Linked DNA regions of Struthio camelus. The protein of the gene in region 2 purifies or fractionates together with the protein of the main gene of each other region. This does not show direct contact. Links are inferred from orthologs where the notes say so. Each region holds a gene or a part of one and is shown on either strand. Other genes may lie near its edges.

Evidence for each region. Proteins that work in one complex are often made in the same cells at the same time.
Region 1: the proteins of SRPK1 (region 2) and DROSHA purify together in Homo sapiens (affinity purification with mass spectrometry; 3 studies listed by BioGRID and IntAct, counting the BioPlex papers as one, with this or other methods). This does not show direct contact. The link is inferred for Struthio camelus from reciprocal best matches to the Homo sapiens genes SRPK1 and DROSHA.

The regions. Positions count from the first base shown.
Region 1 is NC_090943.1:91,265,796-91,272,974, forward strand, and holds the start of DROSHA (ribonuclease 3), read right to left. Parts: upstream 3,164-7,179; 5' UTR 3,108-3,163; exon of another isoform or gene 3,095-3,107; intron 1,875-3,094; exon of another isoform or gene 1,763-1,874; intron 701-1,762; 5' UTR 694-700; coding exon 1-693. Other genes in the region: C2H5orf22 (UPF0489 protein C5orf22 homolog), read left to right, coding at 3,228-3,326, 5,952-6,097. UniProt on the Homo sapiens protein: Ribonuclease III double-stranded (ds) RNA-specific endoribonuclease that is involved in the initial step of microRNA (miRNA) biogenesis.
Region 2 is NC_090965.1:5,012,444-5,019,517, reverse strand, and holds the start of SRPK1 (SRSF protein kinase 1), read right to left. Parts: upstream 3,016-7,074; 5' UTR 2,823-3,015; coding exon 2,720-2,822; intron 2,616-2,719; coding exon 2,555-2,615; intron 1-2,554. UniProt on the Homo sapiens protein: Serine/arginine-rich protein-specific kinase which specifically phosphorylates its substrates at serine residues located in regions rich in arginine/serine dipeptides, known as RS domains and is involved in the phosphorylation of SR splicing factors and the regulation of splicing.

The sequences.
Region 1 (7,179 bases), on a different chromosome or scaffold from region 2:
ATGCTCACGATGCCGGTGCTCGTCGTAATGCTTGCTCCTCTCTGGAGACCGTCGATCGCTTTGCGACTTCTCTGCCTGGTACTGACCCGTGTGCCGAAAATGGCTGTTGCCGCCACTGCTGTTGGTAGCGCTGCTCTGGAAAGAGCTGGAATTGTGCTGATAGCTATTGAAGTTCGGAGGGGGGAATGACTGCTGTGAATACCCTGCGGAGTAAACAGGCTGGTAGTTGACTTGCTGCGGTATGACTGGGGGTGGGGGAGGATGCGGTACTGTCGGGGGCGGCATCATGTAAGGAAATGTGTTTTGCCCCGTCGGAGTTCCTGGCACAGGAGTATTGCTAGGATTTGGCACTGGTGGAGGAGCGGGAGGGAAGCACGGAGGCACTGGGAAACCCTGCCTCATCTGATGGTTTGGAAAAGGTGGCCTCATGGGACACTGGCTGATGGGACTCTGTGTGGAAGGGGGCACTGGAGGAGGATACGGCACAAAGTCTGGCCTGGGAGGCATGTAACCAGTGGCTGGAGGGTTTGAATAGGTTGTCGGAGGGGCCGTTTGCTGGTCATACTGGTATTGCACAGAGGGCTGCTGTGGGTGAAGCTGCCGTAGGTTCTGAGGTCGGTAGGTCTGTGTTGAAGTTCGTGCTCCTGGTCCCCCCTGGCCGCGGGGACACCCTCGTCCGGAATGGAAAGACATGGCTCACCTTTAAAGAAGAAAATAAATAAATGTACAGTGTCACAAAGTTTTTCTATGAGGTTCTTTGGAAGTAGTTCCAGGAAATGCACAAAGTGCTTAAATTATGATTTCTGCAGTTTCTTTTAATAGGAGCAGCAGATGACGACCACTGGCTTTCATTGTGAGCTTTGTGCTCCTCAGTGCTGTAGTACAGGTCATTATTCCCCCAAGATTCCCCTAAGTCTCTAATCCACTAATGCACTCTCCTGCCTCTAATCCAGAATCCAGGTGGGACCATACCCTCATGGTCATGGATGCTTTAATATAAAGTCTTCAGACACCCACACCAAAGAGATCGCTCATTTTAACAAAGGTAGGAGTCATCCAAGGTCTTACATCAAGGAGTTCTTCCTAGAACACTATTCTAAACTTCAGGTAGAACAACTTTACTAACATGCCATCGTGAGTTGCCTGGTCCAGTGAAAAAAAATCACATAAATCTTAAACAAGATAATGGGAATTTATATTCACAGTTAAGTCCCAATTTCGTACAGGACTGAATTCAACAGATATTTTAAAGTTAGGTACATAAAAATTTACTGTGACCCACAAAAACGTACGTGGACTGTGGTTTGTTCCAATTTCAATAAACAAACATTTTCAAAATTCCTGAAGTACCTAATTGGCCGTGTTACCTTGCTGGCAATAGGCACTGCTCTAAGCGGGCTGAAGTCTTGCTCAAAAGCATGTGTTGTATGTAATGTACTACGGTATTAAAGTTTAAAAATGAAAACTGCTGTGGCATATTGAAGTTAAAATTAGTTTTTCATTAAAATGTTCAAAATTCAAAAACTGGGAAAAAGGAAAAAATATTTAAAATAAAACATCAACAATGATATGTTGGGTGGAAGGGAGGGAGAGAGGGGGAAAAAAACAGTTGATCCTGCAGCTGCAAATGTCAAATCCTGTTCTCTATAAGAGAGAGACACATAAACACGTATGCGGAAAGATCACCAGACACAGAAAACAAAGCCTCCTTTTTACAGTGGCTTTACCGATGCAGAAGTACACATAGGGAATAGTCTCCCACCTGCTACCCTGTAACCCGGCAAACGTGGGCTGCTCAGAGTACTACTTTTGGCTGCATTCTGGTCCCAGCGCTGCAAAGGATGAAGCTTGCTGACTGATGCCAGACTTCTGCTAGTGAACCGAAGGGAAAAAACGGAAAAGAAATGAAACAGGGGGAAAGGATGCACATTGAGGAAGAGGTACCAGGAGGACCCCAAGTCTCCCGTCCCATGCTCAGGGCTTGGTTGAAGCCACTGGAAGTGGTGGTGGGGCATTTCCTCCCTCGTTTGAGCAAGTGGACAACAAAGGCCAGCAGGATAAGGGCGGATCAACACGTTTCTAGGAGGTAGCAGACATGTAAAGCCACTGACTGATTCCTTCCAGGCAACCCCGGTCTGTTCAGTACCCTCAGGTCTTTTAAAGGGTCTCAAAAAGAAATGACAGGGAAAAAAAAATCTACTCCACACCTTCACGAGTTTGTCTGGCAGCAGCGCTACTTTCTGTCATCCTTAATTCTAGTCCATTAAACGCTGGACCATTTTTCCTCAGGTCAGCAGTTATAACTCACCTAGCGCAGGCTTCTGCCAGTACACTGTTTTGTGCTTTGCTGACATTTACATACAAATTTTATTTAAACAGGCTGAGCCAATCTTTTATCCCCTTGAATGAAGTAAAGGGAAACCCACTGTACTGTACTGTACTGGTGCCTTAACGTAAGGCACGTTTCTTCTTAACACGTGCCAGTGCATTCAAACAAAAGGTCTCCTTTACCAGCTCTCTCCGAGCTTATCTGCACCTTCAGAGGTTTCCTCTGGTTTCTGCGATCACAGTTCAAGCACTTCAGAACGCACCGAAACGCAGAGCCAAAGGCAGCAGGGAAGGCAAAAAAAAAAAAAAAAAAATTATTTCAGGTTATTTTAAAGCTCCCGCTGCTGCAATTTTTCACCGCGTTCAGGTTCGCTTTGAACTTCAGTGGGAAAAAACCGATGACGAGTCATGCCCTTCCTTCCACCCACAAAGAGAAACCCGTTGCGCCACACGGACACGGACACGCGCGGACACCCGCCCCGGCGCAGGGCCGGCGCGACGGGGCCCTGCCCTCAGGGCGGCCCGGGCCGGCACCGCCCGCCGCCTGCCCTCAAACGGCGCCAGTTTCGCCCGCGCGGGAAGGGCAGGTTTACGCACGGCCGGCGATCACCGCAGCGGCAACGACCGCCAGCCGCCGCCGAGCCCCGCGCGGCGCCCCGGCCGCCCCTCGGCCAGCGGGGCTGCGCCATCACAACGGCCCGCGGGGCCACGTCGCCACGGCGGCGGTCGATGCGCTGCTTCGCCCCGGCCCGGGAGGGGCACGCACCCGCGCAGCCCACCTGCTGCCCCGCCGCCGCCGCCGCCGCCGCCCGCGCCGGCTCCGGAAGAGGAAGGCGCGGGGCGGGGCGCCGCGGGCGGAAGCCGCCGCCGCCACCCGGAGGGAGCCGGGCCGCCGTGACATGAGCGGTGGGGGCCGCCCGCCCGGGGAGCGCCCCGCCGGGGCCGGCCGGAGGGCCTACCCGGTGCTGCCGGTGTGGGTGGTGGAGGACCACCAGGATGTGAGTGAGTGCGCGGCGCGCCCGGCCCAGCCCCAGGCCCGTCACTTCAGCGGGTGCAGCCGCCTCCCGGGGCCCCACCACCATCCCCCCCGCCGGGGTCCCGGCCCGGCCCGGCCCGGCCGCCCCTCGGGTAGTAGCGGCAGGGGAGAGGCGGGTCGCGGCCTTTCTCTGGGCCGTGGGTATTTGGGGGGGTTAAAAAAAAAAACAAACCCTTTTCTGTCTTTCTCGGTTTCTTCTTCCAGCCGTGCCCGCTGCCCTGGGGGCGCGAAAACCAGCCTCCTCGGGCCGGTCTGGCTAGTGGCACACGAGTGAAGTTCAGTGTCCAGATGATGTGGAGCCCCGTCGTGATCCAGTGATGCATGTAGCTGGTGCCATTAGGGCAGGCTGGTGGGGTTTTAAGTAGTTATTTCACTCTCTTTCTCTTTTTTTTTTTTTTTCCCCCATGGTTTCTGTGTTTAAAAGAAAATAACACCCACGTTTTACTGCTTCTGGAATTAGCTAGGTCCTAGCGTACTGCTTAGAAACTCAGGCCTACGCAACGTATGAGGCACACTCTAACCAGCACATTGACTGTCAGTAGCTGAGAGATGTCAAATTTGGTGCTTTATATTATTTGTTTGCTTGTTTTTAATGATAGCTAGTTTAAAAAGGCAATCCTTTGCAAAGGATTGCTTTTGAAGTGCTGTTTCTGGTTTCTCAGAGAGTTTCTTTATTATAGCACAAGTTGAGGCTGTAATCCAAAGTAAGCAAATTCTTTACCCAAAGGCACAAAAGCCCACTAATTTCAGCAAGCATTTCTGGGGCATAAAGAACTGGTGGAGAAAAAAATGAAAAGCATTAACTCTATTGCTGTTTTGCAAAAGCACTAGCGTGATACAGTTTATTAAGGGAAACGTTATTCTGAACTTGAAAGTAGATAATTTAATGAGGATTATTTTTGCCAAGACTCGCTGAAATGGTTGATGCTGTGGTGGCTGGTTTTCTGCAGTAACCACGGACTAAGAGTGTCACTGTAATAGAAGTACTGAGATAATGTCTGTTAATAATTCTTCTTTATTTTGCTTTCAGTACTTCTCTTTTGAATTAGGTTAACAAAGACTCTTCCTACCAAATATATATGCTGTACTTTCAATATATGTATGTATATACATTGATCTGTCTTATATAAAACGTGTATAGGCTTTTACCTCAAAGCGTAAGAACTTCCCAGAAACTATGTATAGTCCAGATGAATTACTGACGTTGAAGTTTCTCTGGGGGTAGATGACACTAGAGGCACCATGCTTTGATTAATAATAACAGCTAGCGGGAAGGGAATTTTGTTCTCAACCCAAAGCAGCAGAACTTGCAATGTAAGGGACTCTAGGCTTTTGTCTCCTCCCTCATCCTGCTCTGTTTTCAGAATTTGCGCTAACACTTCCATGAGATTAAACTAATTTCACCTGTCAACATTGTAGGTTGTACAGGTAGGCCATTTGCCTTTTGTGAAGAACTGGAAATCATAGATCAGAGAATCACTGTTATTTTCAACCTTATTTTTATCTATTATTACAGTAGGATATATATCATTGCATAAGTAGTGGGAAAACTGAGAATTTATAGCCGGTCTGGTGAAATACAATCCAAATTTCAACTAAGTGTCAGATTTTATGGTTATGTACACTCACTATTCAGGATTTGTGATCTTAATCAGTTTTATGCTTAAAAAGTAGCTCAGTTTGCATTTAAATACAGAGATCCCGTGTAGCTTATATTGCCCAGTCTTTTTATAGTTTTCATGCTCCCTGTATAGTAGCGATCTGGTTCACAATTCTTGCTAGATTTGTTCTGGCAGCTAAGGCAGTTACCGGCCTGTAACTGTGGGAGAAGCTCCGTCTACTGCAGCTCAGTGTAAGAAGGATCGTGAATTAGCCTTCAGTTGTCTCATCCCACTTGACAGTATTGCACATCAGTGCTTTGTTATGCCGTAAATTGACACATCTACCCATCTGCTTTTCTCACTTTTAAGTGGGCAGCTGGGGAAGGTAGTCTTTTCATTGCAGCCGCTAAGTCCTGCAGGGATTGGGAATTAAACTTTTTCTCCAGAGGAATAGGTTTAAAGATCAGCTAAAGCTTAAATGGTAGCCGGGTCAGTTTTCACCCTGTATCAGTTAACATTTTGTTAGTGGGGCTTCAGAAGTTTGTATCTCCGCAGCCCCATGCATAGGTTGTGGCTAAGCTTTATAGCATGGAAAAGGAAGTGTAGGGGGTAATCTTCAGCGGAAGAGAGACGGCATTTCTGGGGATCAGTTGAAAAGAAAAAAACTAGGCAGTGTATTAAATTATTAATCAGAAGAGCTACTACAAACAAGACTTCCTATAAGGAAGAAAAGAAAGAGTAAAGCTATGATTCTGCAGCAACTGGCCATGTATGAAACTCTTGGGTTCATAGTGATTCACGGTTCTTCGGCTGTCTTGCTGTTGGAGTGGTATCCCTTTGTTTTCAGTCTCCTTCTCCTTCTCCCAAGAAATAATCCAAATTCAAAAGAAGCAAAGAGGAGAGGGGCTGGTATTTTTGCTATTAACGTCATTGCGTTTTTCAGCTTGCTGGTTATAACTGAAATATTTTTGTTCGTATTGTTTTAGGTTCTGCCTTTCATCTATCGCGCCATTGGTTCAAAGCACCTTCCTGCCAGTAACATCAGCTTTGTTCATCTTGACTCCCATCCAGACCTCCTTATTCCCGTAAATATGCCAGCAGACACCGTATTTGACAAAGAAGCTCTTTTTAGGTAAAGTCCTGTGTACTGCATCAGAATACCTGAAGTCCACTTCTTGCTACCTTTGATTTACAGTCCGTATTCGTTTAACTTTTCATACAGCAGGTGTAAAGCAGCCCCAAGTTGTGTCTTCCATCCTTTCACTTTTGCTGAACACTTTGGTTTTTTTGTGGGGAGGAAGTTATGTGTGTGCTTTATGAGTGTGGTCAAATATTTATGTTGCATATCAAGAAAACCTGAGACTTGCGAATTTACTTTTAGTTGTTTAGTAGTATGTCGTGTTATTAGGCCAGGTTATTTCTCTGGATAACAGGACAGTACTCCTAAGTGCTGATCCTTTTGATCTGAAGAGCTGTAGGTTTAGAACAGCCTTTCTGTCCTCAGTCTGAAAAATCTGCTTTGAGGTTGCAATAGCATCATCTGTGGTGACATGCTGAATGTGTGAAGTTGAACAAGATTTTCTCATTAATATCATGAGGACCAATATTTTACCCCAACTTCTGAAGAAGGTAACAAGGCACAGAGTGACCTTTATTGTCTTTCTCTTCCCATTTTAAAATGACTCTTGACTACTTCAGTATGGAATGGTGATTCACAGCAATCAAAGGATGATGTAATTAGTACGTAAGTAGCTGTGTCATTCTATCAATAGTCAATATCTTACTTTTTTTGTTGGATAAATAAGAAACTTTGGGAGCCGTTTTGTGCGCTTAAAGAGATAGCATATTGATAGTAAGGATCGATTTTTATTCTGTAGGTGCTGATTGATTGCTTTTCAGCACTGAGATGATATTTAAAACCTGTTTAGAGTACTTGACAGCAAAATACTCTGAGGTCAATTCAGAGCTGTCTAAAATAGTGTTGATCATGATCTTTGCACTTTTCCTCTGTCTGATACATCAAGAGAGAAAGGGCAACAAATCCATGTCGTTTATAGTCAAAGAAGCCTACTAAGAGTGAAGCTGACCCTGACCTATAATCCTTTTTTTTTCGTTCTGCTACAGACGTTTTGGGTTCTTCTTATGAATTAAGCTTTCCCTCCTACTTTTTTGATCATGTGACCTGTGCACAGTGTTCTTACTTCAGATGATTTG
Region 2 (7,074 bases):
AAACGGGAGCTGGGCCAAAAGGCGCACAGCCACATTACTCTTCCAACTCCACAACAATAGGCATAGGACAGAAGAGTAGGCTAGACAAGTAGAACTTTTCCCAGTGAAGATCTGAGACAGGCAGTCAGATGATTCTTCCGGCTTCCCAGAAGATTTGGGGTAGTTTTACTGAAGACGACACACACAGGTTCTCACCTTCATATTACCAAGAATCTTTGCCTGCTCTCCTTCACCAAAACAGGACACTTGGATCAATGCTTTTGCTCCTCCACCAATTAAAATAAATAAGTAAATAAAACTTTAAGAGGGGTAGGAGGGAAGAAAGAGGAACAACTTGAAATTGCAGAAAGAACTTTGTTGACCATTCCATTGGGGGGAAAAAAAAAAAAAAACAAACTTACACATGGAACTGTAATTAGCACTTAAGAGGGGCTTCTTTAAATAACCCATTTAGGCTGGTCTTATCTGAACCTAAATAGCAGCAATTTTAACTACTGGAAGATGAAAAACCGAGATAACTATCTAGTTTTGCACTTTGCACAGTCAATTTTCATTTGTTTTAACCTTTTCTCTATAAGTGTTTTTTCTCCCTGTTTTTTTTAACCAGATTGGATTGATAGCAAACCTAAAGCAGGTGGTAGCTCATTTCTAAAGTGAAAGACAATTTGGATTACTTCAAATGTCTTCAGAACATTCTTTGCAACATTATACTTACCAATGACAAGATGACTTTAAATACTTACCAGTCTTTAATTTTAAAGAGTCAGCTGTTTCATCCTTTTTTACTGTCTCTCATATAGGAAAAATTACGAGTGTATAATCCAACCAACTACCATTGAACATCAGACGTTAAAAGGACGTTCCGTGTGTTTCAGGATGCAAGCTTAGGTTTTAAGAAAAGGTCTTACAAGAACCCAGTTAAGCTTGTTTTAGAAGATTTAGCTAGAACAGCTTTGCATTTAAACAGCATAAACCTTGTAGTACTGCACCTCTAAGTTAGAGGCTAATACAGGGTTCTTTTCACTATCTGACACAGAGCACAATGTACAAGCAAGTTTCTTTACTTTCTGAGGTAGGATCTAGTAAACCTATGATGCTAGAAAACAGATTTGAGGAAGAGTGCAATTTAAGAAGATAAGCACAGCATTTTACAAATAGTATGGCTCCTCACTCAAAGCAAGGTTAGCAGCAAAATCGACAGCTAACCAGCGGTGCTGGTAAGTACTGGTTCTAGTTATTTCATTAAAAAGGATTTTTAGAAAACATGCCAGAACTGAAAGTTATCATTCCACAGTTTCAGGATTCGTATAAATAACAGTCTTACCAACTGCAGCCGTGGACTCTATTGGTAGAGTCAGTATTGTTTGTCTGCAGCTGGACAGAGAAAGTAGGCAGGCATATAATGAAACAAATGATTATTCATTCAGAAATTAAGACACAGATAATACTATAGAAGAAGAGGCTCTGTAAAACTGCCCTAACGCTATCTTCAAGATATTCAGTGGTGTCTAGCAAGCCATGCAGAAATATATATACACACATCTCCTAAAGGGTTTCATTTGATCTTCCTCACCTCTCAGAACTCGTCTCAAAACGACTGAATCCTTGCTGGAGGCAATAATCGACCAGAAAATTCAAAAAAAAAAAACCCTCAAACTGATCTGTCAGAGGAAATGACTAAGAAAGAACTACTCTAAGTCTAAAAAAAAAAACCTATCCAGCTCCCAACCCCCCAAGCCTTAGCAAATACCTTTGATTCCTAGGCATAAGCAAGTATAAAAATCTCATAAGATATCAGAGTTTTTGCACAAAAAAAGCAGCATTTTACTGAGCATACGGGACCGGCTCTAGGATTTACACCACCTTTCACTAGAAAGGAACCCATAAGCAGCACTGAACGCAGCACTCAAAGCATTCTGTTAGAAGCCATTGCTTAATATTTACTCTAGATCTTTTAATTTTTATATCTGCATCCAAAAGCTCACCACACATAAAGACCTGCGAAATTCCTGTGGTAGGAAAGAAGCCACATAAAAGCATTAAAGTCAGAGAAAGAAGCAAACGGCACATCGTAACGTTTTTAGGACAAGATTAAAAGGAGGAGGAACAAAAAATAAAAAAAAAAAAAAAAAGAAAAGCAGGGGAAAAGAGTCAAGAGAGGCCGGTTTCCGAAGCCAGCAGCTGCTGAAGGGCCGGGGGACTCGCAGAGAGGGGGCTCGTCCCGCGGCCCGGAGGGGCAGGAGGCGGAGCGAAACGGGCGGCCGGGCGCGGCGGGAGCAGGGGGCGGCGGCGCCGTCACGGCCTCGGGGAACCCCGGCGGCGGCAGCGCCACGAAACGCGCCTCCGGCGAAACCCGCGTCAACCGCCGCCCCCACCGGGCACCCAGCCTCCGCGGCGGCCTGGACCGAGCTGCAGCGGCCCGGCGCCACCCTCCCCCCGCCGGGCCGGGCCGCCTCAGCGCCGCGGGGAAGGGGGGGGGGGGAGGCCGCCGGGCCTAACAAAGCGGCGGGAGCCGCGGGGAGCCCCCTCGGCGGGAGGCCGGGGCCGCACTCACTTCCTCTGGGCCTTGTCCTTCTTGGCTTTGGTCCGCTTCTTCCGGGCCTGCAGCGCCAGCACTGCGGGGAGACAAGAGAGGCGTGAGGGGTGCGGGGGAGGGGGATGGGGAGGGGGGAGCGGCGCGGCGGCGGGGGGGGGGGGGGGAAGGGGGCGCGGCGCTCACCTTTCCGCTCCATGGCCGCTAGCGCCGGTGGCCCCGGGTGCCCCGCGCGCCTGCGCGCTGGGCCCGTCCCCTGCGCCGCGCCAGGCCGCGCCGGGCGGAGCATGCGCGGCTTGAGCACCTTCGCGCGCCGCGGCGCGCGCCACCACGCGGCCTCGCCCTCGTCGTCGTTGTTATGGCGGCGGCGGCCGCCGCCCCCGCCCCCGCCGCTGCTGCTGCTGCTACTGCTGCTGCTACTGCTGGCGGCGCCGCTGCTCGAGCTGCTGCTGGGGGAGAGGCTGGAGCCGGGGCCGCCCGGGGAGGCCCCGCCCCCCCGCTCCTGGCCCCGCCCCCGCCCGCCCGCCGCGGGCCCTGGCGCCGCCTCCGGCAGGGACATGGTGCCGAGCGCGCACGCGCGGCGCCGGGGAGCGCGGCCGGGGCGCGCACGGCTTGTGACGTCGACGCTTGCGTGTGTGGCGTCAGCGCCGCGGGCGCGCGCGTGACGTCAGGCGGAGGGGTGGGGGGGGGCGCGCCGGGGTCGGCACGGAGCCTCCGCCGTCCCGCGGCGCGCCCGCAGGAGTGACGCGGGCGAGCCCCAACCGCCCCCGCGCGTGGCGCCATCGTGGCGAACGCTCCCGCGGCGTGTCAGCTCTGCTCGCCACGGCGGCCGGGGACCTTGGTCACCTGCTGGCCCGTGAAGCGCGCGCAGGCGTTGGCGTCGCCGGATGGTGGCGGCGACCTGCTGGCCAGAACGTACCCGGCTTCGTCGCGTTTGGCGTTGAGGAGCTCGGTGGGCGCTGTGCCGCCTGTAACGGCTCGAAACGCCCGTCGGGGCTTAGATGCCCACGGTTCCGTAACGTAGGTCACGCGAAGCGTTTGACTTGTAGGCTGCTGGGTTACCTGAGCATCTCGCTGTAAGTACTTGAAACTGAAGGCTACAAATTCCTGGGAAGCGGTACCCGCCTGCCGGGCCGTCCCCCCTCCGCGGCTGTGCTCAACGCCCGTTTAGCCCGAACGGCGGCCGGTGCCGCCAGCAGAGGGAGCCGCCGGCGGCGGCAGCAGCGGCCCTTGGGCATCGGGCTCCGCGCGGGGCGGCGGCTACGGGTGCGCGGGCGCGCAGTCTCGGGAGGCGCAAGGAAGAGCCCTCTTCCTAACTTCCTAGTTGCTGCCGTATTGCTCACGGCAAGCTCTGGGAATGAAATACGTCTACCTGTTCTCCTGCAAAGGGTTTTAAGTGAGGAACTAGAACGCTGGAGTGCCTGGTATTCATGCAACGCAGCGGGAAAAGGGCAGCCCCCCCACGCCCTTGGGTAAAGGGGGAACGTGGACCTTCTTTACGCAACTGCTGCATTCAAACTAAGGTTGAGCTTTAAGCATGATGGAGCCTCTCCTTTGCTAGTAACCTACCGTACAGCAACCCTGTAGGAAAACTTCCACCTCACAGAAGTCACAATATAAGCAGTCCGCAGGGAGAGAAGCTATTACAATCTCAGTTTACAGGCGGCACGTTCCTGTGCCTTAAGTGGGATCTGTCGTCCTGTGTTTGTAATAAATGACTCGCGCGGTTGGCTCTGACAAGGTGTGTTCACACCTACCGTGACTACTGCTCCATTTCATACTTCCTGTGGCCTAGGCCAGGCTTCTGCAACCTGCGGCGAGGACACCAAAGGTGGCACGTGGCCAGATTTGGAAAGCAACAGAGCAAAGCAAGCACAGAGACGGGGATCACAGGCCCTCGGGTGGTAGCTCCCGAGGACCCCCTGCCTGCACTGTGGTCTGAACGGGGAGCCTCGTGCAGAGGTCTCACGCAGAAGCAAGGTATTACTGATCAGTGGTAGGAGCGTCTTTCGCTGCTGCTGAGTTTCTTCCAGGACTCTTCCAACCTGGGATAGAAAAATAGAATCTGAAGTAGCACCCTCGAAGGGTTGCTGACCCCAAGCCAAGACAGCCTTGTCTTTCCACACAACAGCCTGGCACTATTTAATAAATGTCCCCTAACTATGCCCATACATAACCGGTTTATCTCGTCTTTCTTCATAACTCCCTGTGCAGTGTGACACACCACAGTGCGTTGCCCCAAGAACTGCTTCTGCCACTCTGTGCATGACTCCAGAGGTTCCTCTACTGCTTTATGTCTTTTGTAGCCATTACAAACTGATGTAAAATGTTAACAGAATGACAATGGGGGTTTGGGGGGTTACACACGCTTTGTGCTCTGCAATGATAAAAGGCATGATGATGTTTCTAATGCAGTGCTATGGCAGAGCTGCCTGGGTTTCTGCAGCGTGCCCTGCTACAAAAACATGGCATCGCACTAGCTGCGAAGGGCATCAAACAACTGTAGTTGTTGCAACTAGTTGTTGCAAGGTGAGAACGTCAAGCTGCCTACAAACACAAGATTACAGACAGGCCTTTGAACTCTGACTTCTACTTCTGTGGCTTTTTAGAGGTATAGGTGGAGTCCTTGGCCATAAAGTACGTGCTTTGTCACTTCACGGCCTGTGTCCAGGGACTGGTGCTTGGCTAGACACAGAAGCCTTGTCTATGTATGCAGGAGCAGAGTTAAGTCACTGCACAGCTATAAGGGAAAAAGATCAGAATTGTCTGGACTTCCTCTCAGCAAGATATTTGTTTTGCAACATGAATACCCATAATTTGAAAGCTCACATACTGACGTCAGAGTTGTCCCCTGCTGCTCAACTGTGCACAGTCATGGGGGTGGGAAGGAAAGATTCAGATCTGTGCTGAGCAAGCCAACAAAAAAATCTCTAAAGTTTGCAATGGAGACTTGCCATGCTGCCAGGAGTTAGGAAAGCCATTTCATCCTAAATCAAGGCTGCCATAGGAGAGCCAACAGAATCTGGAAATTAGGGTTATGCTTTTCATGGTTTTCATATTACTCTGTTTTGAACAGAGCTGAGAGGAGTTTGGCTTGAAGCCACTGTCCAAAACAATGCAGGGAAGCATATGTGGTTTGAGAATTACTCAATACTATTTAAGCTTTCAGTTTTTCCTGTCTTTCAATCCAAAAGGTATGAAGGCTCCAGGACTCCGTTTCCTCCACAGTAAGCAACTCTACCCAGAATGTTCACTAAAATCATTTACCATTGCAGTTTACATATGCAGTACTATGTCTTTCCTCCAGAAACTGCTTGGAAACAATAAGAATTTAAAGGAAAAAAGAGAAACAGATGAGAAGGACTCACTGGAATACATTACAGATAGTTTAATATTAATATTCCTATTATCATTGCTAAAACTTAACAGCCAGAAGCAGCAGAATCCAGAGAAGCCACCTTGAGAAACCACACAACGCCCAGCAGCAAAACTTAGAGCTGTTCACAGCTGAAGGAATTTAGCCCAGAGCATAGTATCTGCTCATAAAGGATGCATCACTTACTTAAATCAAATCTTTGCCCTAAAGTAGGGTCTGAATGGTATATAGACACCTACCCCTACCTACTGGCTACCCATCCAAAATTAGTTTCACCTACAACTCTTCACACTAGGCAATTTGAGCCATGGGATAATCGTCCAGATGAGGGCATGGTAAAGACTTGTGAGGTATATTGCTCATATAGTTAAAAGCTGCTGCTTTCAGTGCAATCCTAGTTCACGCATCTGTATTTGTATTACTGCTTCAAACTATGGCTGATCTAAAGAAAAAATCGTTAAGTTGATTTTTTTTTCCCCCAAGCACTAAGTGCATCTTATTCTAATTTTCCTGGCTCTTCAGAACAAAGTGAATGCACTCCTCCATTCTTCGCTATTTCAGTAAAGGACTACCAAAACCTGAAAAAAAAAATTTGTTTACTAGGATTTAGTTATAGTTGAACAGAAAGGGAACAAGTTAAAAATACTTAAAGGACAGATGTCATGTTATGATGGTGCAGACAATATCAATTTCAAAGTGTGGAATATTAATAATAAAATGCTTTTCTGTAAAGCTTCACATAATTCTACATACATCTGAAGATAATGAAACTGCCTGCATGTAACCTGTTGAAATGCAGCAGATTAGATTCATTAACTAGCAAGCAATAAATATATAAAAAGTGCTAAGCTAGAGCATTTAAACAAACATCTACAGACTTTCAGAAAAGGAGTGCAAGTCATTTGATAATTCCAAGCTTTATAGCTAATTCTGTCTTGTGCTTTGACATTTTTCTGCTTTCTTCATTGCTGGGTAGCATATGTATTTGGAAGCGCTTCAAAGTAATAATATAAATGTTGCTTTTTGTTCAGAACAACAGAATTACTGTAGGCATTAGCCAAGCTGTCTATTTTAAGAACTCTGAAAAAGACAAAACTAAAAAGAAAAAAAGGATCAAATGCTGGGGAGAACCACCTGAACTGTTGCTTAACTGTACCTTTCTCCT